Pelodiscus sinensis: one gene and its partners. The protein of the gene in region 3 interacts with the protein of the main gene of each other region in a biochemical or structural test. Links are inferred from orthologs where the notes say so. Each region holds a gene or a part of one and is shown on either strand. Other genes may lie near its edges.

Region 1 (7,766 bases), on a different chromosome or scaffold from region 3:
CAGCATGGCATAAAAAACCCTTATAAAACGAGTATGTAAAACAAACTGAAGTTGTAAGGACAAACTGCAGAACACAGGGCATACATGGGTGGTGGAAAATGAGCAGCTTAAATTATGGCCTCCTGTCACTTTTTTTCAAACAGAAGGAAAATATTTTCACTCTAAGCACCAATTCCAGTCAAGCCTCTCAATTTAAGACAAAGGAGTACAACAGCCCATTCCACTTATTATGTTTCATTCCCTATTGCCCCACTTCTTCAAGTAGGTGTGAGTGATAATATGAATTCTTAAGCTTGTGTGGAGTCAAACTGCAGGATCTGGGCTTGTTTGTAAATATCAAAGTTCTGCTAGGGGTAGCAAGAATCTGTATAATCCACCTTGTATGCTTATTTCCGTAAGGACATATTTTAAGATAATTCACACAATCTACTTTAAATCAACAACCACAACAAAGGAAATCAAAGCTCTTGAATTCAGATTAAGCTTTTCTAAATATTCTTTGTAGTTTATTGGGGTGGGAGAAGTAATCAACACTTCATTTAAAAAGGCACTCTCAATTTGAAATCTAACCTGTTATAAACAGCAGATTCTGATACTTTATCTGTTCCTGATTCCCTTAGTCTATCACATTTCCTATTATTTAAATATATGTTTTCTGCCCTTAATTATTATGAGAGAGACACCCACCCAAACTACACAGACCATGCCAGGGAAAAGATGTGAAATTGATTAAATACCAAGTAATTGGTACAAAGTAAGCAGACTGAAAATGGAAGGACAGATTTATTTTCTTTAATCTGATGGAATTATAATAGTGTTCTAAATAACAGACAGAACACATTTAGTTATCATGACTTTTAAAATATATTGTGTCCCTCTTAGTCATCAAATTAAATTGCAAGCATGAAGAATAATGCATTAAGATGGTCTAAACACTTTGCAATGTGAAAAACGATCTATTCAAGAATCTAAGTGATATTACTTTTAACAATTAGATGTTTATGTAACATTTTAATAGTTGATTGTTTTAAAAGCCTTAATGGTGTAGTTACACATAATACCACTGTGTACCGGCAGGGCTATCACACAGGATTAAGACAAGACAGCGGCACTTAATTTGTAAACAAGAGTCAAGCTGTGGGTATCTTTAAGACAAAGAGCAGGATATATATTCTTTGTACTCTTAATACTCTTGGGGAAAGGAACTGTGCTCCCAGCAGGAGGCCAAATGTCTGCTGACAGGGCTGGGAGTAGAAGCCCCCGCCCGTGTTTCTGCTGGAAAGGGGTGATCAGCTGTTACTGGGGTTACTTGGGCACATATTGCTGTGGGAGCGAAAGGGGGCAGGGAATTGTTTAGAAGCCATATATATAACTAGGACACGAGCCTCCCTCTGGTATGGCTGGAAGGTGCAGAATGTTCCTGTTGACTGGAATCTGGAAAGGAGAAGCAAAACTTTCACAATCCGGCCCTCTGCAAAATTCTGCGATTCGTTGAGAGGGCAGGTCCCCATCTCAGTAGTGACCCAGAGGGAAAGGGCTCCCTATGGCAGCTCTTAGAGGAGCCTTTGCTTTGTGGCTCTACAGAAATGACAGCAGCATTCCGGTCCGGGGATGAATAAGGCACAAGGACTAGCTCCATCCAGTCACCCCCCGGACCGTGTCGGCCGGAGCAGAAAGGGACTTGGAAGAGCCTCTTACCTTGCAGGGGAAGAGGACAGCTGAAGCCACTTTCTCCATGGCCAGGTTCCTGATGCTTGGGGTCAGGGATCCCCTGCACGTGGGGCAGCAGCTCAGTTTCTGCCGGCATTGATTGCACACCAGATGCCCGGCCTGGCACTGCAGGATCGGGGGCAGCACATAGTCGAAGCAGACGGGACACTCGAACAACGAGGTCAGCTCGTGGTGCTGAGGCGAGACCGGCCCGCCGCCGCCGCCTCCTCCGGGGCCTGAGATCACAGCGGCCGCAGCGGGGAGCGCGGAGGAGCCGGGGCCGGCAGCCGAGATGGTGGCGGCGGCAGCAGGGGCAGCAGCGGGGGACGGGGCGTGCTGCTGCTTGCCGCAGGGTTTGTTAGCGCTGGGTCCGGCGGAGGACGGGCGGCTCATCGCGGTCCGAGCCAACCATGGAACTGCGGGCACCCGGGTGGCCACTCACCGAACCCCGCAGGCGGGACCCGCGCAACGAACCGGCTCCGCTCTCAACAGCGGGCCGCCGCCAGCAGCCGACCGGGCGCCGCGAACGTTCCAAAGTGTATCGGCGTTCCAGAGAGATGTCCCGGCGTTCCGAGGGGCGCTCCGGCCACCAGCCCGACAGGGGCCCCGGCAGCCGCCGCGTTTCCCGGGCCGAGCGCGCCACGCGCGGATCCTCAGCGCACAGTCTGCAACATTGATCTGACGCAAGCGAGAGAGGCAGGAAGAGGGTGTAGCGCCGAAGCCTGCTCCCCGGCGGGTTCTGCTCGCAGTGCCTGGCTCTTACTGAGCATGCCCCAGCCAGCTAGTACTGTCCCTAGTCTACTCTCGGATCAGCCCAGCCAAGGGAGAGGAGACACGGGGGTCTATTTGAAGACACGGGAGGGTGGGCGGGCTAGCCGCTGGGGAAGTGCGGTAGAGTAGCAGGAGCAGAGGAGGAAGGCATTTGCTGACACTCCACTGGGGGAGGCAGGCCTACACGCTGGCGACTCTGACGTATAAAAGCCCCTTTCCACTGCCCGGGGGTGGTGGGGTGAGGGCCGTCTCTGCGGGACTGCTAACATGGCTGGCGTAAGCCCGTGCGGGAAACGCTACAGACAGACCCAGCAAGCACCGAGTTTGCACCAAGGGAGCTGTGGTCTGTTACGCAGCCACCATCCTCACAGCACTTCGCGGGAATAAAAGGTGGTGAAGGTGCTGCCCCGCGGCGGCGGGTGAGGTTCACCGGGGGGACTAGTTGCGGCCCACGGTGGCAGGCTGAGCTACAGAGTTTTGGCACTGCACAATTGTGGTAGTTACTCCAAACACTGTCCTGGGCTGCGGGAGCGAGGATACACCGAGGCTGTGGGGGTGCACCTAGTCCAACAGTAGATATTTTACATGTCAAAAAAACCCCCAAACTGCACTTGATACACGAGCACTGTGTGTGCGTGAGAGATTGCTAAGGGCCGCACGTTGTGGGAGAGGAGACCTACCTCACTTATTTTTAGGTGAAATGCGGTTGTTTGCAATTCAGCACCTCCACTCGTGTGTGACTCATCAACTGGAGGCTTGATGTAAAATCCACCTCTTGCGGGAGTGCACACTGCATACGTAGGTGGAGGGGGTGGGTCGTGCTTCCCATGCACTCCTTGTTCTAAGAGATGATGACTGTGTGGCATATGGCTTTAGAGGACAAAGCCTACATCTGGCGGGGGTTAGACTGGATGACCTTTGCAGTCCCTTTCTAACCTTATCGTCCTGTTGGTTTTGTGACTCTGTCTGCTGGAATTGCAAGTATGTGTATAAAGAAAGGGTGTTGGGCACCCTGGTATATTTTAAACTTTTAAAATTAATCTCAAATCATGTTACACAAGTCTTCTATAATTAGCAATCACACTATATATTCTAACTTTAGGTGGACACATAACATAATCACTTCAAAAACTTCTTTGGCAGATTTTAAGAGAATGCAAAAGCCCTCTGAATTTTACAGGGTTTTTTTGTGGTTCACATCAGGGATGTGACTGTTTTGCAAACACTAAAGCATATACATAATTTTGACACTTAATACCTTCATTAAAGTTATGCACATGTTGCCTAAGAATTTGCAGAACAAGGGCAAAAACAAATGTAATTATCCAATGGTTCTTCCTTTGCTGAGGTGAAAGCTGGAGGACTGCTTGTTCTGTCCAACCAGCGAACATACAGTTGACTCTGACATTACTGAATCTGCATGACAGAAGACTGCCTAATTAAATTACCTATATTTTATTTGATTGAATCTTGTTTACACAGCATCCTTTCAGAGCATATCTCCTCTCATTACAATGTGATCAAAGGATTCTAAAGGAACATAATTCTTAAGTATCCCCTGGCCTATTGACTGTTGTTATCCTGGAATAGGGACATTAAATTTCATTTAATCATCTAATCATCTAAGTTGATGGATTTTGCATTGATTAGTCCAGGCCTACTCAACACACGGCCCACTTTTTTGCAGCCCACATTGTGATTTGCGTTTACACGGGGCTCAACATGCGGCCAGCAGGTGGGTGCCAAAACAAAAAAGTAGTCATTAGACTGGTCTTTTGTTGATATGTGTTTTAGTAGTTAAATTCCTGCACTGTCATTGCTCATTATAAGTGCTGTCATAGGGGTGGAAATTGGGTAAATATTGCATTGTATTAATATCAGTAGAACTAACTTAAATGGGGCCTGCATGTTATGTAGTCTTACCTTAATCTTTGTATTCATGCGGTCAGAGTGAAAGAAGCTATTTGCATATATTTGCATATATATTTGCATGTACATGCAACCACACTTAAGTTGCAGCCCTTGGCATGTGCTGTGAGTATCAATGTGGCACCCGGGGCTTCCAAAGTTGAGTAGCCCTGGACTAGTTGATTAGTTGATAAGTAGGAGAGCTGCAGTGGGGTTTGCTCCTGGCTTTTTAAATGTATTAAGAGCCCCACTACCCCCTGCCTTCCCTGCCCTGCCCTTACCCCCCCCCCCCCCGGAGATGGTACTGGGAGAACCAGCTTTTAAGCCAGCTCCCCCCAGCACTGGCTCCTGCTCCCCCACTGCCTCTGATACAGGCAGCAAAGGAGGGGGGAAGTAAATAGTGGAGGGGCTAGTCTACTATCTGATAAGCTTTTGCTTATCAGATAGTGGACTCTTACATCCCTATCCTGGAACTCTGCGTAAACACCTAAAAGCACTTGGCCACAGTAATACTGAAAAGAACAAAATGCATCCTTGGCGCTTTTTAGAAAATGACTTTTGCTGATGTTTTTGGATTGTCTCAGCATTTCCCTGTCTACAAGCCAAAGCTCTGATCCCATTATTTTGAGAGCTGCAAACTCCTGCATTTCCTCAGTATCAATTTAGCCATTGCAGCTTTACCTTATATTTTATACTCTCACCATGTAATGCATCAACTGATAATGAACAGGTCTCTTACAGTCCAGTTCTATAAGACAATAGTGCAGTCCCTGGCAGGATAGTGGAAGAGTAGGTTTATACACTCTGCAGTGCCATACCAGAATGAAAAACTGTAGTACTGCATTGCCTGTAGTATGGAACACTCTGTGACACCACTCAGAAAATAGAGTAGGCAGTGCGTTACTGTGATTTTGGTGCTTGAAATTAAATTGTTTCTATAAAATCCATTATCAGGAATGGATGCAGCAAAAAATGCCAGCATGTATAAATGAGTAAAAAATACAGCAAATGGGGATGTAACCCAAACTTCAGTGGGATTATTCATGTGTAAATATAAACAGGATTGTTACATTAGTGTTTGCAGTGTTGAGGCCTGTTTCATTAAATCTAAAATGAATTAATGACAACAAAGTGTTTTGTGATGATGCTGGAATGTTTTGTTATTTTGCTTTATATTTCATATTTTCCTATATACAGTAGTGCTTGAAAATCAGAAAGTGGAACTGATTTGATTGCTTTTATTGTCCAAGCTAAGTGGAGTTAGAAAATCAAATTTGACATTTTCAAAATCCCTTCTGATTACAGAAATGAGGAAACATTGGTTATGAGGAAAAAATAATCTTACAGCGTCTCTTTAAAATTTGAGTGAAATAGAGGATAAAAGAGGGAATGATTTTGATTATAAATTTCAGAGGGGTAGCTCAGTTAGTCTGTAACTGGAAAAACTTAAAAAACAACAAATAGTCTTGCAGCACTTTAAGAACACAACAGAGACTAGGGATACTATTCCTTACCCAACCTAGGTAATAACCTTCACAACCTCCTTAGGCAAGGAGTTCCACAGGCTGACTGTGCGCTATGTGAAGAAGAACTTCCTTTTATTTGTTTTAAACCTGCTGCCCATTAATTTCATTTGGTAGCCCCTAGTTCTTATATTATGAGAACAAGTAAATAACTTTTCTTTATTCCTCTTTTCCAAGCTGAGAAGTCCTAGTCTCCTCATATGGGACTTGTTTCAAACCCCTAATCATTTTAGTTGCCCTTCTCTGAATTTTTTCTAATGCCAGACTTTTCTAAAATAGTATTACAGCACCTTAAAAACTAACAAAACATGTAGATGATATCATACACCCTCATGGGCACTACCCACGACCGATGAAACTGAAGAAGTAGGTTGTACCCTTGAAAGCTCATGACACCATCTACCTGTTTTGTTAGTTTTTAAGGTGCTGCAAGACTATTTGCTGTTTTTTTTTTAAGTTTTTCCATTTGCTTATAGTTAGTAAAGAGTCAAACTTAAGGTTGGGTCTGCTTGTCTTTTTGTTTGATGACCATGTGTAAAGGTTATAAACAAGGCTGAACTACTTGCTGTGTACAAGTGCCCATGCTTATCGTAACCTTGCCTAAGGAGGTTGTGAAGGCTATTACCCAGGTTGGGTAAGGAATAGTATCCCTAGTCTCTGTTATGTTCTTAAAGTGCTGCAAGACTATTTGTTGTTTTTTAACCATCTGTTAGTCTTGAAGGAGTGGTAGAACTTGTGTGCCTTTCCTTGTCAGCAGAATGAGTGAATTGTGCTTACACACATTAGTTTCCAAAGAGGAGTTGTAACGTGTGTGTGTGTGTGTGTGTGTGTGTGTGTGTGTGTGTGTGTGTGTGTATTACCCTCATTTATTAAAAAAAAACCAAATTTGTACGTGTATTAAGTTTTGTGATGTTTAAATGCTTTTCTGTGAAATCATGCCTAGTTAGTTTATAAATTGAAAAGTCTGTGTTGTGACACTGCTGTAGCTGCAGACTATCAACCATGTAAAACCATAGAGCTGTGTCTAGACTGGCAAGTTTTTCCGCAAAATCATCTGCTTTTGCGGAAAAACTTGACAGCTGTTTACACTGGCCGCTTGAATTTCCGCAAAAGCACTGATGATCTCATGTAAGATTGTCAGTGCTTTTGCGGAAATACTATGCTGCTCCCGTTCGGGCAAAAGTCTTTTTCCGAAAAACTTTTGCGCAAAAGGGCCAGTGTAGACAGCAGAGATTTGTTTTCCACAAAAAAGCCCTGATTGGGAAAATGGCAATCGGGGCTTTTTTGCAGAAAAGCGTGTCTAGATTGGCCACAGACGCTTTTCCACAAAAAGTGCTTTTCCGCAAAAGCGTCCTGCCAATCTAGATGCTCTTTTCCGAAAATGCTTTTAACGGAAAACTTTTCCATTAAAAGCATTTCCGGAAAATCATGCCAGTGTAGACGTAGCCAAGATGTATAGAGCAACTTCTGTGCACACACAGCCAGTAACTCTGAAATGTTTTTAGCAGGCCTTGATAGTCAGGTGTGATACCTTAGGACTGCTAGGGCTAAAATTGAATTAAGCTATGAAACTTCAGCTACGTCAGTGGTGTAGCTTAAATCGAAATAGCTTTTTTAGGCTTTTGGAACTGTTTACACAGCAGGAAGTTGAAGGAAGAACAGCCTTCTTTCAACTTCCCTTAATCCTCATGAAATGAGGGTTACTGCGGTTGGAGTAAAAAGTCCTCTAGCTCAACATTATTCAGAAATAAAGGCTTGTTCTGTAGACCTACACTGTGTTATTTTGGAATAACGTCAGTTACTCCCAAGTAACTCTGCGGTGTAGATGTCCTCCTAGAGATGAATATGCCAATG
Region 2 (7,689 bases), on a different chromosome or scaffold from region 3:
CAATGAGGAATCCTGTGGCATCTTAAAGACTAACAGATTTATTTGGCATAAGCTTTCATGGATCAAAACCACTTCATCAGATGCACGTGACTATGCTAGTATAGTTTATGAACCTAGACTACAAGTGTTTTGCTACTTTGGCTATACAGGAGGCCCCCAACTTGCAACGCAATTGGTTCTGGGGGAAGCACTGCAAGACGGGGGTGTCGTAACTTGATCCTCATTTACAATAGGCACCATGTGCCATCGTAAATGTGGGCCAAAGACGTAAGTTGGGCGGTTCCAGCCCCTTCCACACTTGCAAAAATGGTTGTAAGTGCAGGGGTCAGAACTCAGGCGGTCGCAAGTCTGGGGCCTCCTGTACCAACATAACTATACCAGCAAAATATCCCTTGAACATCTTAATTTTAAAACTAGACAGTCTGTATACATAAACAGTACCATTTATTTGAGCTCAAATCCTGCAATTGTATCAATCATGCACCCATACACAGCTTGGCTGGACTTCAATGGAGCTCTGCACTGGTGCCAGGCTGCCTGGGTACTAACTTTTGCAGGATTAGAGCTTTTAACTGATTTTTTTTTTAAAGTACTTGGGGATGGGATAGTTTATGCCAAAGAATAGTTCAAATTTTCAGAAAGAGTTGAGACAAGAAACTGATTTTGGATTTTGTACAGCTGGAACCCATTAGTATTGGGGAAATTACCCACAAAAATCTATTACGTAGTATCAGAAAAAATAGCAAAATGCACAATTCCTAAACTCCATGAAAATATTTGCCAAACTAATATATCTACTATAGCATGTCATGTTATGCAGAAAGTGTGATAATCTATATTTTTCATGTGACATGACAAATTTTAATATTAACTTCACCAAATCCTGTACTTTTTTAAAAACACGCATCTATATTAGAGCCTCCTATGGTGCCCATATTCATATTGAAAACTGTGAGTAACTTTACTTGATTAGACCCACTGATAACACAAGCACTAAATAGATCTATAAGGTCAGATACTTGCACAAAAGTGGAGCTACTTAAGTCAATTACACCCACCCATCTAGATCAGATTGCAGAAGTGGTGTGGGTATGGGACAGAGTTGTATACTCAATCTCGGCTTTCACATTTCCTTAATTTTTGAACATTTATCCTGGCAAATTTACCCATATAGGAATTTAAACTTTGTGTGTGTTAATTTAGAATATATGAGAACAATATTATTCTAATCCACCATGATTAAAAATCCAATTGCAATTTGCATAAACTAGAGAAAATAATAACAGTATTAGAAGATTATATACTTTTTTCTCTTTCTGGAGCAGGAAAAATTCTTTTAGCAATCATAATGCGATGCCAAGGGATGTAAAATACCTAAAATACATTCCTGAAGAGCAGGGCATGCTCTGCCAATTACCACTATTACCTATTAAGATTTATTCTACTTTTGGCATACAAAAAACATAATGTCATGTATGTGGTCTAATGACCATAAATGGCTTTTAGTCATCAGAGATGTCAAAAGAAGGTAGTTTCTCCATAATTCAAGTGAATAGTTACACACACTTAATACAGTTATGATGTACATTTTCTTTATGAAAATATGCAGCAGACAATACTGTGATAGTAAATTCACAGTGAACTTTTCTATCAGGTAACAAGTTTCTCTTATTAGGAGAGACTTAAAAGCTTACTGCCAAACCTGGAGTCCCAAAACAACAAACACTTTCCCAAATCTTTATTTGTTGAACAATAAAACAAATACACTACACCAACGCTCAAACAGCTAACCCCATTATAATGATCATGACAGTCAGAACTTGAATCTAACTGATTAACCAGGGATGCACACCTCATCAATCAAACTGCTTCCAAAAACTTTGTTTTGGAATTTGGTCTGAGAATTCTGTGGCTGACAAAAGTTACTTATAGTCTTTCCAACCAGCAAGCCTTAACTAAACCATTTAACGTCCTTTTAGGCAATACTCTAGTAAAACAACATCATCTACTGACTGCTCCTTACTCAGCACATGACACACTGATTTCAGTTTGCCATTTGAATGCAAACTCGGTGGTGAAAGGGGTAAAATCGGGACCTGACAACCCTAAACCATTTGTGATGGAGGCCCCTGGAGCTTCCATTAAGTTTTACAAGCATTTCCGTCCCCCATGATTGGCGCATGATTTTTGTTGTGTGTTTCAATTAAGTCTTTTCTTTAAAAGACACGACAGACATTCTTAACTATTTCCCTTCACTCAAAGCGCCCTAGAAACTATCTGCTCCAAGCGTGGTTCCCACAACAAACCGGATCACTTGGAGGGGCGGAGGAGGGGGAGTCAAAGAGGAGTAGTGTAATTTCTCTCGCATACTTGTGAATGCACCTGGAGCTTTGAGGGGTGCGTGGCCTGATTTAAAACACAAAAACACACCCTCTCTGGGAGTGGGGACAGGTTTTGTTGGCCCCGAGGAGCCCTGAGTCACACCTGCTCCATTTGAAGGCCCAGCAGCGGGGCGCAAAAAGCAAAGCAGGCAGGCGAGGGACATCAGCCAGGATACAGAATTCAGAGAGACCCAGCGCGGCTCTTACCTTCCTACTTGCTCCTCCAAGAGACACCTTGGGCCTGGTTTTGAAATCCCCTTCGAAGCTGAACATGGTTACAGCTTATCCCATCGAGAGCGGCGTCCCCGCTGCCTCCCAGGCTGACGCTGCACCGGGGCCGCGAGCGGGGCTGGGGAATGGGCAGCCGCTGCCCGCCCAGGGGAGGCACCAGCCCGGCCACCCCAGTGCCACCTTCGCTGCTGCCTCCTGCGGCGATCGCCGGGCGACCCCCGGCCGGGAGGGGCTGCTCTCCCCACACACACACCCACTCGCTCCCTCGCTTCCCTAAGCCCCCCCTCTCGGACCACCAGCTACTGCTCCGGGCGGGGGGAGGGGGCTGGCGCGGCTGCTTCACTTGCACTACGAATCAGCCGGCTCCGGAGAGAAGATGGCCGCCGACCAGCTCCCTCTGCGCGTTCCCGCGTCCCAGCCAATCGGCGCGCGGCCCCGCCGCAGCCGCCCGGAACGCGCGCGGGCTGCCTGCAGCGCGCGCCCGGCCCCCTGGAGCTCGTCAGAGGCCCAGCCTCAGGGCGCTGGTGGCCGTGCCGCCCCGCGTCGGTGGCGCAGCCCCTCGGCACCCGCCAGCCGTGGCCACGGCCCGGGAGCGGGGATGAGCACCGTGAAGGAGCCTGTGCTCTAAGCAGGGCCCTTCCTGGCCTCAAATCCACCCCGCCGAGCCCTTTGCCCCTTCAGCACAGCAGCGCTGTAGGCAGGCCCGCTCAGAGAACGACAGAGGGCTGGGCCACTTTGAGTTCAGCGGCGCCTGCCCAGCGCCCTGACCTAACTTCTCATCCACAGGGTCATACTAAGGGGACTACACTAAAACCCAAAGACTATATGAAAACGAACACTTGAGACGTGTTTATTAACAAGACCATGTATATTAAAAATGTAACTTTAAGTGTGAGTTTCCACTGCCAGCAAAACTCTTCATTTTAGCAATGCTTTTTCTGGCTTTGTTGGGTGCACACTTGTTTATATTTGAAGAAAAATCTAATGTATGTGCAACCTCACCTTTTATGTTAAGCATGGCGAGCCCACTCAAATGCTCTTGTCCCATTGTAGAACCATAGTTCTTCACTTGTTTTAACATGTTGACTGTGCATTCAGCCATTGATGCAGGAAGACTGACAAAAATAGGTAATGCAATTGTGATACTAAGAAATACAGTCGACAGGCCAAGATCGAATATTTCTGGAAGCAGTTTTTGGCTTGCAGTCTGATTTAAAGTAAGCGGAATGTATATGTTTCAGGAAGACGGTCTTGTGTCAGAGCTTTCTTGACATTTCATTGTACATTTCTTGAGACTGCTCTGCTGCTGAATATAGATCTTCATCACTTAGTTCTCTGAACTCCCAAAGGAATCTAAAAAAGGTACAAATTTGTAGTAGTGACTCAAATAGACGTGTAAGACCAGATTTGATGGAGTCAATAATAAAAAAAAAATGACTCAATAGTGCCTTTATGCATCAAATTGAGATGTTAGGGTGTGATTGGTGGAAAACTCAGATGAAATGTCAATATCCCATGCTACTGATTTGGACTCAAAGGATTGCATTCCATTGATCACAAATCTCTTGAATATCTGTAAGAAGTCATTCAGTGCTATCCCTCTCAACATCTAATGTAGCATTGCGTGCTTCAATTACAAGATTAGTTTCATGGATCATTTGTAGCAGCTTCATCCATATGGATGACATTAAAATGCATTCAGATTTGGATATATACTTCTCTGCTGACATAAACTCAGTGCAAGCCTGTTCTGTGAGAGTAAAAGATTCAATCTGCTTTAGAATTTCCCAATTTTGAGGACTGCTACTGGAAGAGGTTGTAAAACTGTTGGATTGTTCCAAAGTATGTGATTGCTTCCTTGCATGATTCAGAGCAATCAATGCCGATAAGATTTAGTGCGTGGTTGCCACAACTGGAGAAAATTCAGTTTGGATTTTGCTCAAGAAGGACTGCTTGTCCTCCATTGTACTTCCCAGTCATATTGGATCCATTGTCATAGTCTTGGCCAATGCAGACTTGAAAATGGAATTTGAAGCCTTCCAGAATTTCTAATACATGAGCAGCGATTTATTTTCCAGTTTTTTTGTGAAATTATCAAACAAAATGAATTGTTCTTCAATTGAAACCTTTGAACTTTCTGAAGTTTTAACAAATTGAACAACCAAGGTCATCTGTTCTTTATAAAAACAGTTTGGAGTTGCATCAATAATAATTTAAAAGTATTTCGCATGTCATATTTCTTCAAGAATTGTTGTTTGCACAAATGTTCCACACAGCTTAATAAACTCATTTTGTATTCTAGTAGACAGAAAATGGACTTGCATGCATTTTCCGCTCTCTTGTGATTCACGAACACGCATAACATGGCCTGATAAAAGTGGGTCATATTTGCTAAGAATCTCAAGTAGACCAAGTAAGTTTCCGTTTGTAGGGTTACCCATACAATGACTGGAATCAAACAAAGCCAATCCCCATTCAGAAAGAAAAAGAATGACATTCAAAACCAGCTCAAGGAGTTTTTTCTATTTATCATTTTCTGTATCATCTCCCTTCGGAAGAGTTTTTGTCAGCAAATGAGTGGGAAAAGCATGATTTTCAGCATCTTTCGGTATACAACTTGGAATCTGAAAACAATTAACTTAGAGAAATGACTGCATTTGAGCAAAAATGCAAGAAGTCCAATATCAGGTTCTGATGCCGCTGTTGTTATACTATGTCCTGTGCTAGTCATAAGTTCTTGCTTTTGCTTCATAACATCTCCAAGGTTCTCATTTTCTGCCTGTACAGTCTCTAAATCGACGCAGATTCTGCATCTCTCGCTACCATTTACTCATTTTGAGTTATTATTTACTCATTTTGAGGTAGCGGCATTGAATTGTCATTTGTGGGTACAAAGTTTTCATCATCAGAACTGGAAGTGTCATTGTCAGTATATTAGATGATGAGCTTTCGTGGGCCAGACCCACTTCCTCAGATCAAATAGTGGAAGAAAGTAGTCACAACCATATATACCAAAGGATACAATTAAAAAAATGAACAAATATGAAAAGGACAAATCACATTGCAGAACAGGAAGGGGATGCAGGGGAGGGGAGGGAAGGAAGGAAGGTAAGTGTCTGTGAATTGATGATATTAGAGGTAGGGAGAGTGGGATGTTTGTGAGTTAATGGTATTAGAGGTGATAATTGGGGAAACTATCTTGGTAATGGGTGAGATAGTTCAAGTGTTTGTTGAGTCCTTTTTGGAAAGTGTCGAATTTTAACATGAATGACAGTTCAGAGGATTCCCTTTCAAGTGCAGATGTAAAAGGTCTTTGTAGCAGAATGCAGGTGGTTAAGTCATTGAGAGAGTGTCCTTTCTGGTTAAAATGGCACCTACAACCCCCAACTTAAACCTGTCCAACACATTATCAATAAACTACAGCCTATACTGGAACAGGATACCATACTCAAAGAGGCTCTGGGAGACAGACCCATAGTCTCCTATAGACAACCACCTAACCTCAAGATGATTCTTACCAACCACCACAGGACATACCACACTAATACCAACCCTGGTACCTTCCCTTGCAACAAACCCCGTTGCCAGCTTTGTCCACATATTCATTCTGCTGATACCATTATTGGACCTAACCAAGTGAGTTATAAGATCAAGAACACATATTCCTGCGCATCCAGAAATATAATCTATGCTATCATGTGCCGAAAGTGTCCGTCTGCTATGTACATTGGACAAACATCTCAGACACTTCGCCAAAGGATTAATGCCCACAAAACAGATATCAGACAAGATCACAAAGAAAAAACAGTTTCTTGCCATTTTAACCAGAAAGGACACTCTCTCAATGACTTAACCACCTGCATTCTGCTACAAAGACCTTTTACATCTGCACTTGAAAGGGAATCCTCTGAACTGTCATTCATGTTAAAATTCGACACTTTCCAAAAAGGACTCAACAAACACTTGAACTATCTCACCGATTACCAAGATAGTTTCCCCAATTATCACCTCTAATACCATTAACTCACAAACATCCCGCTCTCCCTACCTCTAATATCATCAATTCACAGACACTTACCTTCCTTCCTTCCCCCCCCCCCCCCCCCCCGCATCCCCTTCCTGTTCTGCAATGTGATTTGTCCTTTTCATATTTGTTCATTTTTTTAATTGTATCCTTTGGTATATATGGTTGTGACTACTTTCTTCCACTATTTGATCTGAGGAAGTGGGTCTGGCCCACGAAAGCTCATCTAATAAACCATCTTGTTAGTCTTTAAAGTGCTACATTGTCCTGCATTTTGCTTCAGCTACCCCAGACTAACACGGCTACATTTCTATCACCATTGTCAGTATAGTTTGTCTAATGATTGAGGAGTCTTTTCTACAAGAAATTATGCTATTGGCATTAAACTCTTAACTGCCGTTTCACTTTTGCTTTCGCCATGTCTTACTTGCACCACTTTCAAATCTTTGCTTCATTTTTATAAAGGGGTTCTTTTAAAACGTAGTAATACATAGTACATTAATTTGCCAAAGGCTATTGGTTATAAAGTTTTAATTTTATATATTTTGCAATGAATATTATGTAGCAGCTGTTTGGGGGTGTTATTTATTATGGTCCTTATAGCCTTATTTCAAAGTCTTGAATATGTTCCCATTATTAAATTCCTCTAATAACAGGTGCATTATTATGAATATAAACATGGGGCGATTGCCTGATTAGATGTAAAGTCTATTAAACAACTAGAATTAAAAGTTTATTATCACAAAAAAGCCTTTAAAGGTGAATCTAAAACTGGACAAAGAGGTAGTTTACAGCTGAGCCTGATATGGTTATTGTATACGAAGACACATAAAAAAAACAGGAATATGAAAATCTCCTATGCATAGATAAACATCTAATTTACAGGTTAAAGTCACCTTCACACCAAGCAAAATCATTTTACAGTAACAGAATTAATTATGACTTTCGCAAAGACTGTAAACAGCGTTTGATAATGTAGAATCACTAATCACAGAAGCTACTCCAGTCACCCAGATGAAAACTCAGATGTGACCAAAAAATTGGTGAAGGACC
Region 3 (7,390 bases):
CAACAGTAAGTTTGATCAATCTCTGATATTAATGACAAATTAAAGATTCAGATATCTACACACATCCCATTTCCTTGATTGTCAGGGCCTAAAGCTAGGAAAACTGAAAGGGTTTTCCTCCTGCAACTCCTTCCCCTTAAACAAACCAAAAATACCATACATTTTTGCTTATTTTGCTGACATAAAAATCATGCCTTAACCCATCTTTTCTAGGTACAGAATTCCTATCAGATGTCCAGGTTGTACCTTTCAAGTGATAAAGTTGCCAGAGAGAAACATGCTCTGCAGGAAGATCACAACAAGATACCCTGAATTTGAGATGTAAAAATGTATAAAATTAGTAAACATGTAACCAATCAGAAGTCTATTGATTACACGGTTAAATGGGTTATCTAGGAATGTAAGGATAGGGAGGGAAGACTCCCAGGCTATGGGCCGCTGGCCTTGCAGATCCCTCCCAGAATTCAACTGTTAACAGGAATTGACACACTGATGCTTATCAGTTAAACTCTCATATCCCCACCCTAGCTGATAATTAGGAACATCTGTGTTAGTAGCAGATGCATTTCCATTGCAACAGTTTCAGACCTAAGGTGGCATGTAAATGGTGTATTATTCATTATTATAATTTGTATTATCAAATTGCCTAGGAGTCTCAGTCATGGACCAGGACCCCATTGTGAAAGGCACTGTACAAAGGAGCATAATCAAAAAAGACTGTAAAATCTTTGGGGGCAAGACAATCAAAGTTCTGGTCTATGCTTAAAAGTTAGGTCAATATAACTGTAGTGCTCACAGGTGTGAAAAATTCTGTCACTCAAGAGAGTTGGAGATCTTACATTGATGGAAAAAAACCCTTCCATTGCTCTAAGAAGCATCTACACTACAATGCTACACAACAAAGCAATGCACGGTAAACTGTGCTACTGTCATAACTGTAACCTGGACACAAGCTACATAAGATAGGCCCTTACTTCGACTACCAGCCCTTGGACAAAGTATGCAACATTAGGGAGGAAATGATCAACTAAAGTAAAATACAATCTGCTTTACTGAGCAGACCCAATGCGATAGAAAAGCAAACAGATTTAGGAGAGCAATTGTTAGCAATCAGGGGAACAAGATGAATTAAACCAAAGTCTCTCTGACATTAACACAAAACACTGATCCCGTTGAGAAGCAACATGATCTTCTGGCGGTTAAGTGTTGAGAAACATGAACTCTCAAATTCTAATCTCAGCTCCTCCACTGATCTGCTATGGAACCTACCAATAACTGGCCAGACCAGAATTAATGCAGTTTTGGAAGTGGCATTGAACACAGTTTTTCTTTGATTACATATCAACTCAACTACATTCAGCATCAGTCTAGTTTTATTTCTATTGTTGACACTTGCTGTCAGTATCACACAGTATTTCCCTTATATAGCCTAGGATGTGAAAATATAACCGTGTAAATGGTTAACTGATAAACCTGGGCTCATTGGTTAACATTCACTGTTACATAACAAAGTGGGTCTTTGCCCACAAAAGCTTATGCTCCAATACATCTATTAGTCTTTAAAGCGCTACAGGACTCTGTCGCTGTTACATGCAGGTTCCCATCCTGCTCCTGGGGAGCCAACTGCTTTCTTGCGAGTCGGCTTTTAAGAGGCAGCAGTGCAGAGGCAGCTGCTGGATCCCATCCACAGCCCCACTCCCAGGGTGTGTCTAGACTACATAGCTCCATCGACAAAGCCATGTAAAGTAGTTTACTCAATAGTCAATGAAGCAGGGATTTAAACAATCCCCATTTCATTAAAATAAAAATGGCCACCGCGCGGTGATAAAGTGAAACGAGGCATACCAGAGCAATCAACAAAGGCTTCCCTTGTCCACCGCGCCATGTCTAGACTGCCATGTTGTGCCGGATCAGCTGATTGTCAGCACAGCGTGGTGGCCATTTTTATTTTAATGACGCGGGGATTATTTAAATCCCTGCTTCATTGACTATATCGAGTAAACTACTTCACATGGCTTCATCAACGGAGCTATTTAGTCTAGATACAACCCCAGAGAGCCAGCTGCTGCCTCTTAAAAGCCTACTCCCAGTGCACACCACCTCCCAAGGAACCACCTGACTCCCCAGGAGTGGGATGGGAACCCACATGTAACCGTGAATATTAACCAATGAGTCCAGGCTTATTGGTTAACTGTTTACATGGTTATACTTTCTAGTCGCTAGCCAATACAAGAGGAATACTGTGTAGTACTGAAGGCAGATGTCAGTATCAGAGGCAGCAATACAAGGTGGTAGCTGGCTCCCCAAGGAGCTGAGTGGCAGGCAAGAGCCAGTGCATGCCCCATACACGGTTACTTGCAACTGCAGTAACTGCTGAGATTTTCAGCTGTTAAATGTTTATCCAATTACCTTCTTTTTAACATCCCTAGTATAGGCAAGCCTCCTCTTGGTGCCTCAGTTTCTCCCACTGTAAGGTAACTGCAACTCTGCCCACCTCACTTGGGCCTTGTGAAGGTTAGTGTATGCACAAGGTTATACTTTATCCAGACTGTTATGCAGCTGCACAGCACCATTCCGACAGGGTTCTACAGGCAATCCTCCTCCAACCCACAGACTGGCACTCCTTTTCCACGGGGTAAGAGGAACAAAGAACAGTCTCCCAGAAGCAACAAACCATCAATATCCCCATTGGTATGAGCAAAGACACGAGAACCTCATTACTCCGAGGAGGAGAAACACAGCCAAGATTTCACACCCACTGCTCTACCCTCCGACACCGGCACCACAAAGTTCTCGCTGCCCATTGAGCCTCTCTTCCCCTGCAATCCCCCTCTCCCCTGCCATCAGCTTCCCTTCTAGTGGGGCCTCCCTTCCCCCAGCGCCCCTCTGCCTGCACGTCTCCTCTCCCCCGGCCGCTCCCGAGCCCCCCGGCCGCACAGCTCCTTCCTCAGCGGCCTCCCCCGGCCGCGCTCCCCCCGGGGACCCCAGGCCCGGCTCCCCCGGCAGGGCCCGGCGCGGCCGCTCTTACTTTCTGTATCCGCTTCAGCGCCATGGCGGAGACACGCTCCGGCTCGGGGCTCTGCGAGGCGGCGGCGGGCGGCTGCTCCCCGGCTGGGTGCGCGCAGTCGCTCCGGGCGGGGGCCGGGCTCTCGCAGGGCGTCAGGGGCCGAGGCCGGATCCGCTTGGCTCTCACTCGCTGGCTCTTTTGTTTCCGCTTTTACTTATAGACAGAGCCCGGAGCCCGCTGCATGCTGGGAAATGCAGTCCCGGGCGGGAGGAGGCGCAGCGCCCCCTGCAGTCAGGCCGCGGAGCCAGCAGGCCTAGGGAGCCAGCTGACTGCCCGAAGGCAGAAGTGGCAATTGCTGGCTGCTGCAAGACGCTACAGCAGGGCTACTCAACTTTGGAGGCCACAGGGACAACGTTGGAAGCCCCTCAAGCTACATGCTGAGGGCCACAACTTCAGTGTGGTTGCATGCATATTCAAATATATGCAAATAGTTTCTTTCACACTGACAGGCATCAATACAAAGACTAAGGCAAGATTACAGAACACACAGGCCCATTTAAGTCAGTTCTGCTGATATTAATAAAATGCAATATTTACTCGATTTCCACCCATATGACAGCACTTTTAGGGTACATCTACACTGCACTGTTATTCTGGAATAACAGCTGTTATTCCAGAAAAACAATACTAACATCCACACATCAACTGGGTTATTTTGAAAGAAAATCAAAATAAAGGAAGGCTTTTTCTGACGTTGGCAAACCTCATTCCATGAGGAATAAGGCATCTTCCAAAAAAGCTCTTTCAGAAGAGGGTTTATGTGGATGCTTCAGTGCTGCTATGTCGAAATAACTCCTCACCAGGGCCATTCTAAGTTTTTCCTCCCCAGTGCCTTCTGGGGCTCTAAACTGAGACAGCGCATCCACATTAGGGGAGCCTGCCTGCCTTGGCCTAATTTGGAGGCTTCCCTGTAGTATGGACACTTTATTTCAAAATAAGCTATTCTGGAAGATATTTTCTATAATAGCTTTTTTCTGAAATAAGCTTGCAATGTAGACATACCCTTAATGAGCAATGACAGTCTAGGAATTTAACTACTAAAATGCATATCAACAGAAGACCATTTATTGACTTGCCATTGTGGAGCATGTTCCCAGTGGATGCCATGTTCAAAGGATCCCACCCATGGGCTGCGTGATGAGCCCTGTGTAAACCCAAACCGCACTGCAGGCCACATGTTGAGTAGCCCTGCCCTTCAGCCTGAGATCAGAGGTTAATGAAAGTAACTTAATATTTCTTACAGGTACTGTCATGTGGCATTCCCTTGGGGAGGGGTGTGATCAAGCTAGGAGGTTGCGATACAATGGTATCTGAATGAAATGTAAGTGTAGAGGTGGAGTGCAGAGAGCTCAGGGCAGAGTTTCTGATATAGGAGACTCAGACAAAGCCTCCTGCTGCTTCCATTGGCCAGATTCCAGCCAATGGGAGCAGCGGGGAAAGCCTCCAGGAAGCATGTCCATGCTCTGATGTTCCCGCAGCCAGGGAAAGGAAAGCGCAATGCACGCAGCTGCTTCTGGCTCTGCTTCTTCCCCACGAGCTTGATCTGGCAGGGAGGCTTCGGGCTTTCTTTCCCCCTCCTCCTGCAGGAAGATGGCACTGGAGATTCAGTCTTGCGGTGGGGAGGGGGGAACATGAGGTTGGAGTTGCCAGCGTGAACTCTCTGCTGTGAGGAGGAGGGGCTGAGCTCCAGCAGCAAAAGAGCCTTATGTGGCTCCCTACTGAGCAATATTTGGCTAAGGAGGAGGTTGCCAACCTCTGGTTTACAAGGTTGGGGGTGGTTGAGGAAGGGCTCAGAGCAGGGGGTTGTGGTTGTGGTGGGTGAAGGAGTCAGGGTTGTGGGTGTAAGAAGGGGCTCAGGACAGGTGAGGTATGTATGTGCAGGGGTATTGCGGGGGTCGGAGGAGACATAAGCCAGTCCCTTTAATCTGCCTAGCTGACTGCTGCTTAGTGTGGCAGCCTACAGGAGAGCCCCAGGATCTAGTCTAGTAGTCAAGTGCCCCAGCCCACCATCTCCTTCATAACGGAGCAGGGCATAGAAATGCATCATCTTAACTACCTCTGCCTGGGATTAAAGCAAGGGGTAAATTCAAAAGTAGAGATACCTCTACTCCATGATCATTTCTCCACCATAAATAGATATGTGAAAGGATGCAAAGGGCATATAACCTTAAACCCATGGTCACCAACCCGTCAATCGCAATCAACTGGTTGATCCCGGAGGCTTGACCTGTTGATCGCGAGGCTTTGGGGTCCCCCCTCGCTATCACCCTACCCCCAAGATGCAGGCCACACTGATGCTACTTCCAGGGACCATGGAGGTAGCGCGGGCTTCCTGCGGGGTTGGGGGGCAGTTCTTCAGTTGCGCACCAGGTCCTGGAAGTGCTGCTCTCCCCACTGCCCCAACAGCCGACGTGGTACCTAAAATACAAGTCCATCGTGCGCTGGGGACTTTGTTCCCCTGGTGCCTTCCTGCGCATGGGGGAGGGGGTGGGAATCCAGGACTGCGCTGGCTCCGGCTGCTCAGGCGGTGTGCGCTGCTGTGCAGAGCAGGGGAGCAAGGTGTGTGCTGCCCAAGGAGTTGGGGCTGGCGCAGTCTGGGACTCCCCCTCTCCCCATGAAGAAAGTCATCAGGTGTGCAATGGACCAGCGTGTCAGGTACCGCACCGCTGTTTGGGAGATGGGGGAACAACCTGCGCACTTTCTGGGCCTTGGCATGCAGCTGCAGGATCCTCAGGTATCGGTCCCTGTCCCCTCCTTCTCACCCAGACCCGCACGAATACCCTGCCCCAGCACCCACAAGCACCCTGTCCCCTGCACCAGTACCCATTGGTACCCTTCCCCAGAACCCTGTCCCAGCACCCACAAGCACCCTGTCCTCTACCCCAGCACCCATTGGCATCCTGCCCCAGAACCCACTGGAACCCTGTCCCCTGCCCCAGCACCCATTAACATCCTGCCCTGGCACCCTGTCCCAGCACCCACAAGCACCCTGCCCCAGAACGCTGTCCCGGTACCCACAAATACAGTTGGGGCCACATTAGTGAGGTTTGAGGGGTTTGGAGGGGTTGTGTTTTTGTATCTCATTGTATGGTCCTGACTGACTTTTCTGTGGGCCAGTGACCCCTGACTCAAAACAGGTTACCCACCCTTCTCATAAATAAAGACAATGCTGAAACCTTTTGTGTTTGACATAATATTTTATTTAAAAATGAAGCCTGGCCAACAAGCCCCCAGTTGGGGCCAAGTCCTCATTTGGCCACAGCATCATAACACTCCTGTACCCCCCACCCGACTCCAAATCTGAGCCTATCATACACTGGAACCTCCTGTCCTGAGCGCCTCACATTCCCAAACTCCTGCACCTCCACATCCTCAATCTTCTGCCACAACACTCTTGCACCATACACACACTGCAAATCTGTGTCCTGAGCCCATCATACTCCTAGCCTCTCTGCCCTGAGTCCTCAACCCTAACTCCTGCACCCTCACATCCACAAGCTTGTGGCTTGCTCAGCACCCCAACTCTCCACCTGAGCCAGCACTCCCCAGCCTGGAGCCCCCTTTCTGAGCCAACATCCCCTTCTCCACATCCTCCTGCATCCAAATTCCGTCCCAAAGCTTGCACCTCTCACTCTTTCCCATACCTAAATCCCTCATGCACACCCTAGAACCTGCACTTCCTGTCTCAACACAGTGAGGGTATGGCTAGACTGCAGGAGTTTTTCCGGAAAACACGCTCTTTTGGCAGCCCCTGTATTCCTCGTTCCACAAAGAATGAGGGGGTTTCCAAAAGAAGGGGGTTTTCCGACATTTGGCCCAGTCTAGATAGGTCAAATGTTGGAAAAATTTCTTCTTTCTTTTTTTTACTGCCGAAAAAAAGCGACAGTGTAGCCGTAACCTGGGAGTGTAAAAGGGTCATGGATAGCAAGTGATGGAGAGAAGGGGAACAGAGAGGGCTGGGCCTCAAGGAAAGGGGAGGGGTTTGGGGAAGGGACGGGGTAGATCTTGGCTTGTCCTGACATTTAAAAAGTTATCTTGGGTGTAGAAAGGTTGGTGACCACTGCCTTAAACCTTATCATGCTCCCACCAAACATATTGGGTACTTAAGTTGCATTTTTTCCCTGTCTTCTTAATTATGGAACTTTACTCAAAAATTCCAAATGGACCTCCCAGATGTTCCAGTGGCAATATTTCAGAAGTGTCCTTTTTGTAGACATAACTAAACAAGACTATAGCCATGCAACGACCAAGCTGCATTGATTTTAACACTGCCACAATATGAACCTACCAAAGTAGCAATGCAAGCATACTGCTATTCTTTCA
Region 4 (8,119 bases), on a different chromosome or scaffold from region 3:
TGGCCATTTATATTTTATTAGAACACAAAGGGAAGTATTTTCAGCATGTTACTTACCGTGGCACTGGCGGCTGTAGGCCCAGGGATATCAGGGCTCTCTTCATCAGTCATTTGATTTTGTTCTTCAGTACCACGGGTTACAAGAATTCTGAAGTGTTGCTGCCTTGTGTTTTGATCTGGTCTGATTTTAAACAAGCATCCCTGCCCTTGAGGAATCCTTTCTACTGAATTACTTCTAGATATTTCTGACCCATTTCTGCTATTTCCATGCAGTTCTGAATTCATTCTGTCTTCTACTGGGCTAATTCGTTCTGGTCGTGGCTGTACAGGGTAGGAAGTACTCCTTTCCAGCCGTATACGAGGATATCTGACCAATCTATTCCCTTTTGTTCCAGTAAAACCAAAATTATAGTCACTTCCTGTACCTGTACCACTTGCCTGCGATTGCTGCAACTGGAAAACAAATAACTTTTTCCCTGAATTTGCTGACACATCTGGCAGGTGCTGCAAGGACCAGCGCCTGGGTTCAGAGGCTGGGGAGTTATTCTGATCCTCAGAACCAAAGGGCAATAGCGTAACCTGACGCATGTCTGTGCATGAAGCGCGATGTTGAATTCTTACGCCACTTAGATTTAACCCTGAAGCTGCTTCGCTTGCTTCGTCTTCTAGGGCAGTCGTTGCCCCATCATTCCAGTTATTGGAAGGAACTGTACAAAATATTCTGTGGTTACAGGAAACAGCTCCATTAAGCTGTTCCTGAATCTCTTCAGGCATCCTGGGTGGAGAATTCTCTGGGGTTCCTTGTGGACTGCTTGGAGAAGAAGAAGGGCTGTCAACTGGGCATGTGTAATGCTCCCTGGAGTCTGTGAATTTACATGGCAGCATCTCCTCAGGAGACTCTGGGGCTCCGCACTCATCAGCACAGCCGTTCACAGCTTTGCGCTGAAGAGAGATCTGCATAGAGGAGCTCCTTGTTGGACGCACATCAATATTGTTCAGAAGCTGAGGAATAAACATGGATGTACTTCTTTTCAAGGAGCCCACTCCTTGCAAATCACCGCCACCATAATCCGCTCCATGTCGGGAGAAAGGATGGGGACTGTTTCTTCTTGGCAAAGTGTGGAATGCCATGAAAAAGTCATCTTCTCTCTCTCGGTCTAGGATCTCAGATTCAGGGGCTGTGTTGCTTCGTCCAGAGCCAAAATGAAACCGCAGCCGATGGGCCATGGTTTAACAGAGAGAAGAAAGAGAGGGAGAACAGCAACAATTCAGGCACTGCCAGAAGTTAGAAAACAAAGACAAACTCCAAGAAAAAGTGTCCCATCTGCCAAACTGTTAGTACTGCAGCACTGATAGCGACAGATAGCAGAAATAGCCCAAGTGGCAAGCAGCATTCCAGGCATGATTGGATAAGAGCAATCAGCACTCCTACACACAGTGACATAGGGTAGGATGGTTGAAATCACATGACTTGGTTCCCCCTCTCCACTGCAAGCTAGTTTTTTTTTTTTTTTTTAAATACCAGTAAGAGCCTGAAACAGCACCTTCACAGCTGCTCCTTTTCCATCAGAAAAGAGCTGCCCCCGCGGGAGAGCTCTCACAGCTGACTAAGGCAGCAAGCACACTCGGCACTGCTATAAATCTCAGCCACATCACATTCACAGGGCACTTTCGTACAAAAACTTCACTGCAACAAAAGCACTTTAAGTGTTGATAGTTCAAGTCAGCTTCACAAATGCAGATTGAGAAGAAGTGAGCTGGCTTGAGATGACAGATTCAGGCTTCCTCTGTTTTGATGCTTCAACATTAGGCTACCATGGTAGAACACAAATAAATATTAGTCCCTGGTTATGCTCTAGGGTTTTTTTTCTGGTTCTTTAAAAGATTAAGTAACAAATTATTCACTACAGAAAAATCCATAACTTTTACCTTATCACTATAAATGCAGCATAACCTATTTATACTGCATACAGAAATTTGAACAAAGAATTCTTACATATGCCAACTATTTCTCACACAATGACAGCAACAGAAATGAACAAGATGGCAAGAGACAGGATGGTTGTTTTTTTCCCCCAGTTTTATCAGGAAGCAAAGACGAACGAAAACTGAAGAAGGGTGTGCATATCATTTTGGAATTATTTTACTTAAGTGCCATACAGAAATGCTGCCCAGTGTTGGCAGCCTTCCAATGAGAGAGTCTGCAATATTACCACAAGTCTGATTGCCAGCACGGAGGATAGCTATGCTTGCAAAGAGCCAAAAGAGCTTAAAAGAAGAACATATGGGATACAACCAAAAATTTAAATAAACATCCCGATTCAGCCCTGCCACAATGCAGAATCTCAACCTTTAAAAAGGGGTTGTCATAACTGAGGTGCACTGAAGTTCTAGAAGATTTTTGCATGAATCAGAAACAAAATCTGTTTAAACAAAAAGTTTATCTACAGAAGAGACACAATTGAAATAACCTCAATTAAAAGAGTGGCAACTTGGCTCCTATGAACGGTTAAAAAAACCCCAGTTTTTTCAACAGTTCTACCCTTGTACGTGTTGGGTCAATACTACTGCTAGATACCTAAAACCACTGTTTTACAATAGCTTGTTTTCAAATACAAAAAACAACCAAGTACAAGAGAAATAAAAGCTGATTTAAACAATAAAACTGCCAAGGGCCAGTACAATCCTCTATTGTTTTAACTGGACTATGAGCCAACGACAAGAAAAACATGGGTATTTGCTACAGTAACAGCACTGTAGATTGCTTCATGCAAGCACAGGTGTTAGTATTATTTTAATACACTTTTCAAAAAACAGCATGGTTCTGGGCTATTTAAATAAACAAGTACCCTTTTTTACTAAATACGCAACTTGCAACCACAGTCTAGTCTAGTGTGACAAACCTACTGCAATCTAACAACTCACTGATGGTTTAGGAACAAGATGAACTCGTAAGAAATTATTCTGGGGGCAAATCTTAGTAATTGTAAGCTTACATTTGTATTTATGCTTGGAATTAAAAAAAAGACACACAAATTAACTGTTTTGGCCCCTAAAAATATAGTCATGCTACAGAAAATAGTCTTAGAGTACTCAGTTCAATACTCCCTCAATCTACACGTTAGTATGAGATATAAAGGCAATTACCACTTCTCAGATGTCATTGTGTGGTAATGGTTGAAAAATGTCTTTTTAACAACCACCACTGTATTGTCACATACTAGCTTGCTTGTGCACACTACTACCCTCTGCTGGTTCACATATAACTTATTCAAATTTTTTGACGTCCCACTCTGCCAGCTGGCCTGAAAAGAGGAAAAGAAACTTAAAACTAGAAAGAGTTATTCAAGATTCCCTACAAGTGGAGGCCTGTAATTCTGAAATAGAATAATAAATCCATATGAAGGCACTGAAATGATCAGTGTGCTTAGAGGCATTTAATGGGGGTTGAAATGGAATAATCTATTTCCTCACATCATTAGATGAGAGAACCTCTATATTCTCCCCCCTGAAAAAAGGTTACCTAAAAAAGTTTCTATCTTTTTCCTTGCATTACATAAATATTTGCTTTGATGGAACTGAAAGAAAAGAAAGTTGACAAAAAGATAGTCAATCTATCATATATATATATGGCATATTTTGTCCCAGTATATTAAGCAAGTTTGGTAGACACATACTGCACTTTATATAATCTAAAAGAATCAAATATTTTGTGATATAGCACCACATCTTGTTATAATACTGTTAATAAATATAGTGCTAGTGGGTCACTATTCCATTAATACTGCTTTTAAAAACTTTCTTCAAACTACTTTCATAAATTACAATTACATTGATGCCTTACATCAACTATACCTAAAATCAAACCATATTTTTGCCTAGCCATCTAGTTAACCGTACAAAAATAACAAATAAAGCAGTAATTACAGTATCCCTTCCCTAAATATCTCAGCTGCATAATTTTGTTTCAAGAGGAGTGCTATAAATATTCAGCTTGTAAAATACCTACGTTTCCTGCTTTATATACCTCACTTTACCTTACTTATTTTACATATTTAAACCACTGAAACAAAAAATACGTTTTATTTAAGGTATACCAATTTTCCAAAAACTAAGATTCAGGAGCTATGTTACTTCCAAGTTTAGTTGAGTGATTAGTAAAATACACACAACTGGGACTAGAGTAGTACACTCACCAATCTGTTTTCATCAAACACTTCAAACAGGAGTCTATGATTAGTTGGGTTTACCTATAAAAAAAAAAAAAGTGTTACTTCATGCTCATTTCCTTCACAACATAAACCATTGATGGGTACAGTAGTTTGCTAAATGCGGGTTGACAGGCCTTGAATATAACTTAACTTTACCTACTGTGTAAATACCCATTTAAAATTCTAAATCTATAACTAGAAATATTCTGGTTTTCAATACTATGTTTTTACTTAGTTATTAATAGAGCACCTCTTATTCTACATCCCTGTTCCTTGAGAAAGCTCCCAACAGAAAGATGTTTTATGGAGGTCACTCACCAAGAGACCCAACCTGACAGAATCAGAATCTGTGGTTGATGGCTCTTGGTGAGTAGCATGTGAATGTTAAACTAGTTAATCAGAGGGGGCTGGAGCAGCTTCCTGCCTGCCACAGACAGGGAGTTGCTCTAGCCCCACAATGGCAAGCCCACAGCAGACAGGGGCTGCCTCTGTCCACAGCAGGTAGCCTTCACCCAGGGGCTGCTCCAGCCTGACATGTGATTTCCAGAGGAGCCTGCAGTGGGGAGGGTGAGGTGAGGGCTGCTCCAACCCAGCAGCAGGCATGGTGGGCACTCCAGCTAGACAGGAGCTGCCCTGCCACCCCCTCTTAATTTGGTTAACCAGTTAAACAATATGTTTAACCAGGTTAACCAATTAAATAGGATTTTACATCTCTACTGGTGACCAAGGTGTCAGACTGCTGGGTTATAGGGTCTTTCTTGGTATTGAAATTTCAGAGCTGAAGTGTGATACAGGAACTAGAATTTTTAAAAGAATAGTCTCCTTTTTATTGATTCTAAACATACTACTTAGAATTATGCAGCACCTCTATTTTTCACCCTCTGCCTACACCCAGTCTGCCACTGTTCCTACCCATTTTACAAATGACACTTGAGAAACACTGTGGATGAGATGAGAAATCATACTGAGAAATGAGTACACCTTCAGGATATTGTTTCCACAGACAGATGCTGAATTACATGAATCCCCTCAAAACAATGAATGTCAAGGAGGCAACAAGGCCACCATCGAATAAAGGCAGGTTTCTATGGTAGTTAATCCAGGTTCGTATACTTTTCAGGAAAGTGTAAGACAGGTGGCTAAGCCCAGTCCTCTATTTGAGGCAACACAGAGAATATATTCCTTAATAGGCAGACACTTATGTGGGTTTATTGACAGAGGGAAATCCCAAACTGAACTAGCACAAAGAGTGTGATCCCTCCAGTAGAGGAGTACACACAAGTACTAGTATGTGTCTTTCTGGGTAGGATTTTCATGAGTTTTTATAGCACTGCAGGGTTCCGTTTACATGTTCTAAGTAACAAGAGTTCTCATGGTCTGACTATGTCTTCATTCCAGGAAGAAGTATAAGGCGACCATGAAAAATATCAACAGATTCCATGAATACGGTAAATGTGTAGCACATATCCAATTTGCTGCAAATCCTGAATGCACACCAAAAGAAGAGCACTCAATTGCATGAGCTGTGCCTTCCAAACTGCTCTGCAACTCAACACTGTATAAAAATGGAGTTTTCCACCTGTCCAGTGTGGAATCAGTTCTGAGTTATTGCTGAATAATATCTGAAACAGCAGAGAGCCAAAAGCACTTATTTTGCTGGGGATAGCACGTAGCTGCACAAAGGTTTAAATTGACTAAAGGAAAGCATGCTGGTGTTTATAGACATTAATGAGCTGGAACTGCTAGAAAGGTATGAAGGTTATTTAAGGGCAGGTCTACACTAGAAGTGTTGCACTGATGCAGCTGTAGGGCATCCAATGAAGAAACTATGCTGCTGGGAGAGTGCTCTCTGGTTAGCATAAATATTCCCCCCCTGTGAGAGGTGGAAGCTATGTCAGTGGGAGAACATCTCCCACTGACACAGTGCCAGCAGCAACACTTGGACAGTGCTTAGGTGACTTAAACTTACATCACACACAGGGCGGGATCTTTTTAATACCCCGAGTGGCACAGGTTAAATTGACGTAAGTGGTAGCATAGACCGGCTGTAAAGCTTTGCCTATATTGACACAAAGTTGTTGTCTTATTGGCGGTGAGTTAACTAAGACGTGATAGGTGTCTGATTGCAAAACTCTACGTGGAGTCTAGGCAATTATAGTTTGCACACGGAGGCAAAGTAGATGAGGTCAACAATCTCCTCTTCCTCACTACCCTGCGACTGACCTCACCTAGTTTATCTTGTGTTGAAAACTTCAGTGCTGTCCCTCCAAGGGATTGCATGCAGTAAATACATAGCAGAGACAAGACACCACAAGGTAAATTAGGTCAGGTCAAGTCACAGGGCTGTGAAGGGGAGAATAGTATTGACTTTACCTTTACCTTGTGGTAGAAACCACTTTTTTAAAAAAAAAAATCAGTGAAAACAGAGCCGAAAATGTCTTCTTCCCCTCCAGAGTTAAGGTTGTTTGGGTGCCCTGATATTTGGATTCCTTTGAAGTTAATTTTTAAACACAGTATTTCCTAGGCGTTGGGTGTTTGGTAACTAGAACCATTTGGTAAGTTACTGATGTGTACTCAACATTACATTTAGCAAAGTAGGTTAACTGGGAATAAATACTAACCATACAACTGGTAACATGTGGTTCTAACAATGCCCAAACATTTTAGTGTGCCGCTTGTTTCTAAGACTTTTTTTCTGGAATCTTTAACAGGGTATCCTAAGAATCACTAACCATCTACATAAGAATGCCAAGCTTAATGTGTTTACATGTAACATGACCAGATGAATGTTCTACCAATGAAAAGCTTGCACACATTGCATCTTGTTGTGACTGAAATGGAAAAAGCTGGGGCCCGTCATACTGAGTTTAGTGCCAAGACAATTCCTAGTGATAGAAATGTAGCCGTGTTAGTCTGGTGTAGCTGAAACAAAATACAGAACTATGTAGCACTTTAAAGACTAACAAGATGGTTTATTAGATGATGAGCTTTCGTGGGCCAGACCCACTTCCTCAGATCAAATAGTGGAAGAAAATAGTCACAACCATATATACCAAAGGATACAATTAAAAAAATGAACACATATGAAAAGGACAAATCAAATTTCAGAACAGGAGGGGGATGCGGGGGGTAAAGGGAGGAAGGTAAATGTCTGTGAGCTAATGGTATTAAGAGGTGATAATTGGGGAAGCTATCTTTGTAATGGGTAAGATAGTTAGCGTCTTTGTTGAGACCGACGCGTAGAGTGTGGAATTTCAGCATGAATGACAGTTCAGAGGATTCCCTTTCAAGTGCAGTTTAAAAAGGCTTCTGCAGCAGGATGCAGGTAATTAAGTCATTGAGACAGTGTCCTTTCTGGTTGAAATGGCAAGAAACTGTTTTTTCTTTGTGATCCTGTCTAATATCTGTTTTGTGGGCATTGATCCTTGGGCGAAGTGTCTGAGACGTTTGTCCAATGTACAAAGCAGACGGACACTTTCGGCACATGATAGCATAAATTATATTTCTGGATGCCTAGAGATTCTGCAGTACTCAAAAGAAGTTCCTTGTGTATTATATTAGAGGACTCAAAATAGGTACCTCTGGACAGACTATTTTAGGGAGAAAAATCTACTAGATTTCACGGTGTAAAAAGCTATTTCAGTGGAATTGAGATTTTAAAGTATTTACAATCTCCCCAAATTAAATAAACAAATATTCTGTTGTAAATTACCAAATCAGCATAATAGACTACATCTAAAATGAATTTTGAATGGATACGACCATTTTAACAATATTCACTGCCCATCCCTGTTCTGAAACAGCTGTTCTAAAGAATACATTTAAACTGTTGAAATTTTACCTAATCTATTCCAATAAAAACTACATTTGGACAGAAGATAAGTAACTCCTCCTTGAAAACTCTTTATG

Evidence for each region.
Region 1: the proteins of UBE2D1 (region 3) and SIAH2 form a complex in vitro, tested with the Homo sapiens proteins (3 studies listed by BioGRID). The link is inferred for Pelodiscus sinensis from reciprocal best matches to the Homo sapiens genes UBE2D1 and SIAH2.
Region 2: the proteins of UBE2D1 (region 3) and UBE3C form a complex in vitro, tested with the Homo sapiens proteins (8 studies listed by BioGRID). The link is inferred for Pelodiscus sinensis from reciprocal best matches to the Homo sapiens genes UBE2D1 and UBE3C.
Region 4: the proteins of UBE2D1 (region 3) and NEDD4L form a complex in vitro, tested with the Homo sapiens proteins (7 studies listed by BioGRID). The link is inferred for Pelodiscus sinensis from reciprocal best matches to the Homo sapiens genes UBE2D1 and NEDD4L.

The regions. Positions count from the first base shown.
Region 1 is NC_134720.1:26,656,317-26,664,082, forward strand, and holds the start of SIAH2 (E3 ubiquitin-protein ligase SIAH2), read right to left. Parts: upstream 3,132-7,766; 5' UTR 2,104-3,131; coding exon 1,699-2,103; intron 1-1,698. UniProt on the Homo sapiens protein: E3 ubiquitin-protein ligase that mediates ubiquitination and subsequent proteasomal degradation of target proteins.
Region 2 is NC_134712.1:240,091,802-240,099,490, forward strand, and holds the start of UBE3C (ubiquitin-protein ligase E3C), read right to left. Parts: upstream 3,032-7,689; 5' UTR 2,655-3,031; coding exon 2,589-2,654; intron 1-2,588. UniProt on the Homo sapiens protein: E3 ubiquitin-protein ligase that specifically catalyzes 'Lys-29'- and 'Lys-48'-linked polyubiquitin chains.
Region 3 is NC_134718.1:33,639,674-33,647,063, forward strand, and holds the start of UBE2D1 (ubiquitin-conjugating enzyme E2 D1), read right to left. Parts: upstream 3,217-7,390; 5' UTR 3,053-3,216; coding exon 3,029-3,052; intron 1-3,028.
Region 4 is NC_134716.1:110,161,489-110,169,607, forward strand, and holds the start of NEDD4L (E3 ubiquitin-protein ligase NEDD4-like), read right to left. Parts: upstream 3,059-8,119; 5' UTR 1,227-3,058; coding exon 57-1,226; intron 1-56. UniProt on the Homo sapiens protein: E3 ubiquitin-protein ligase that mediates the polyubiquitination of lysine and cysteine residues on target proteins and is thereby implicated in the regulation of various signaling pathways including autophagy, innate immunity or DNA repair.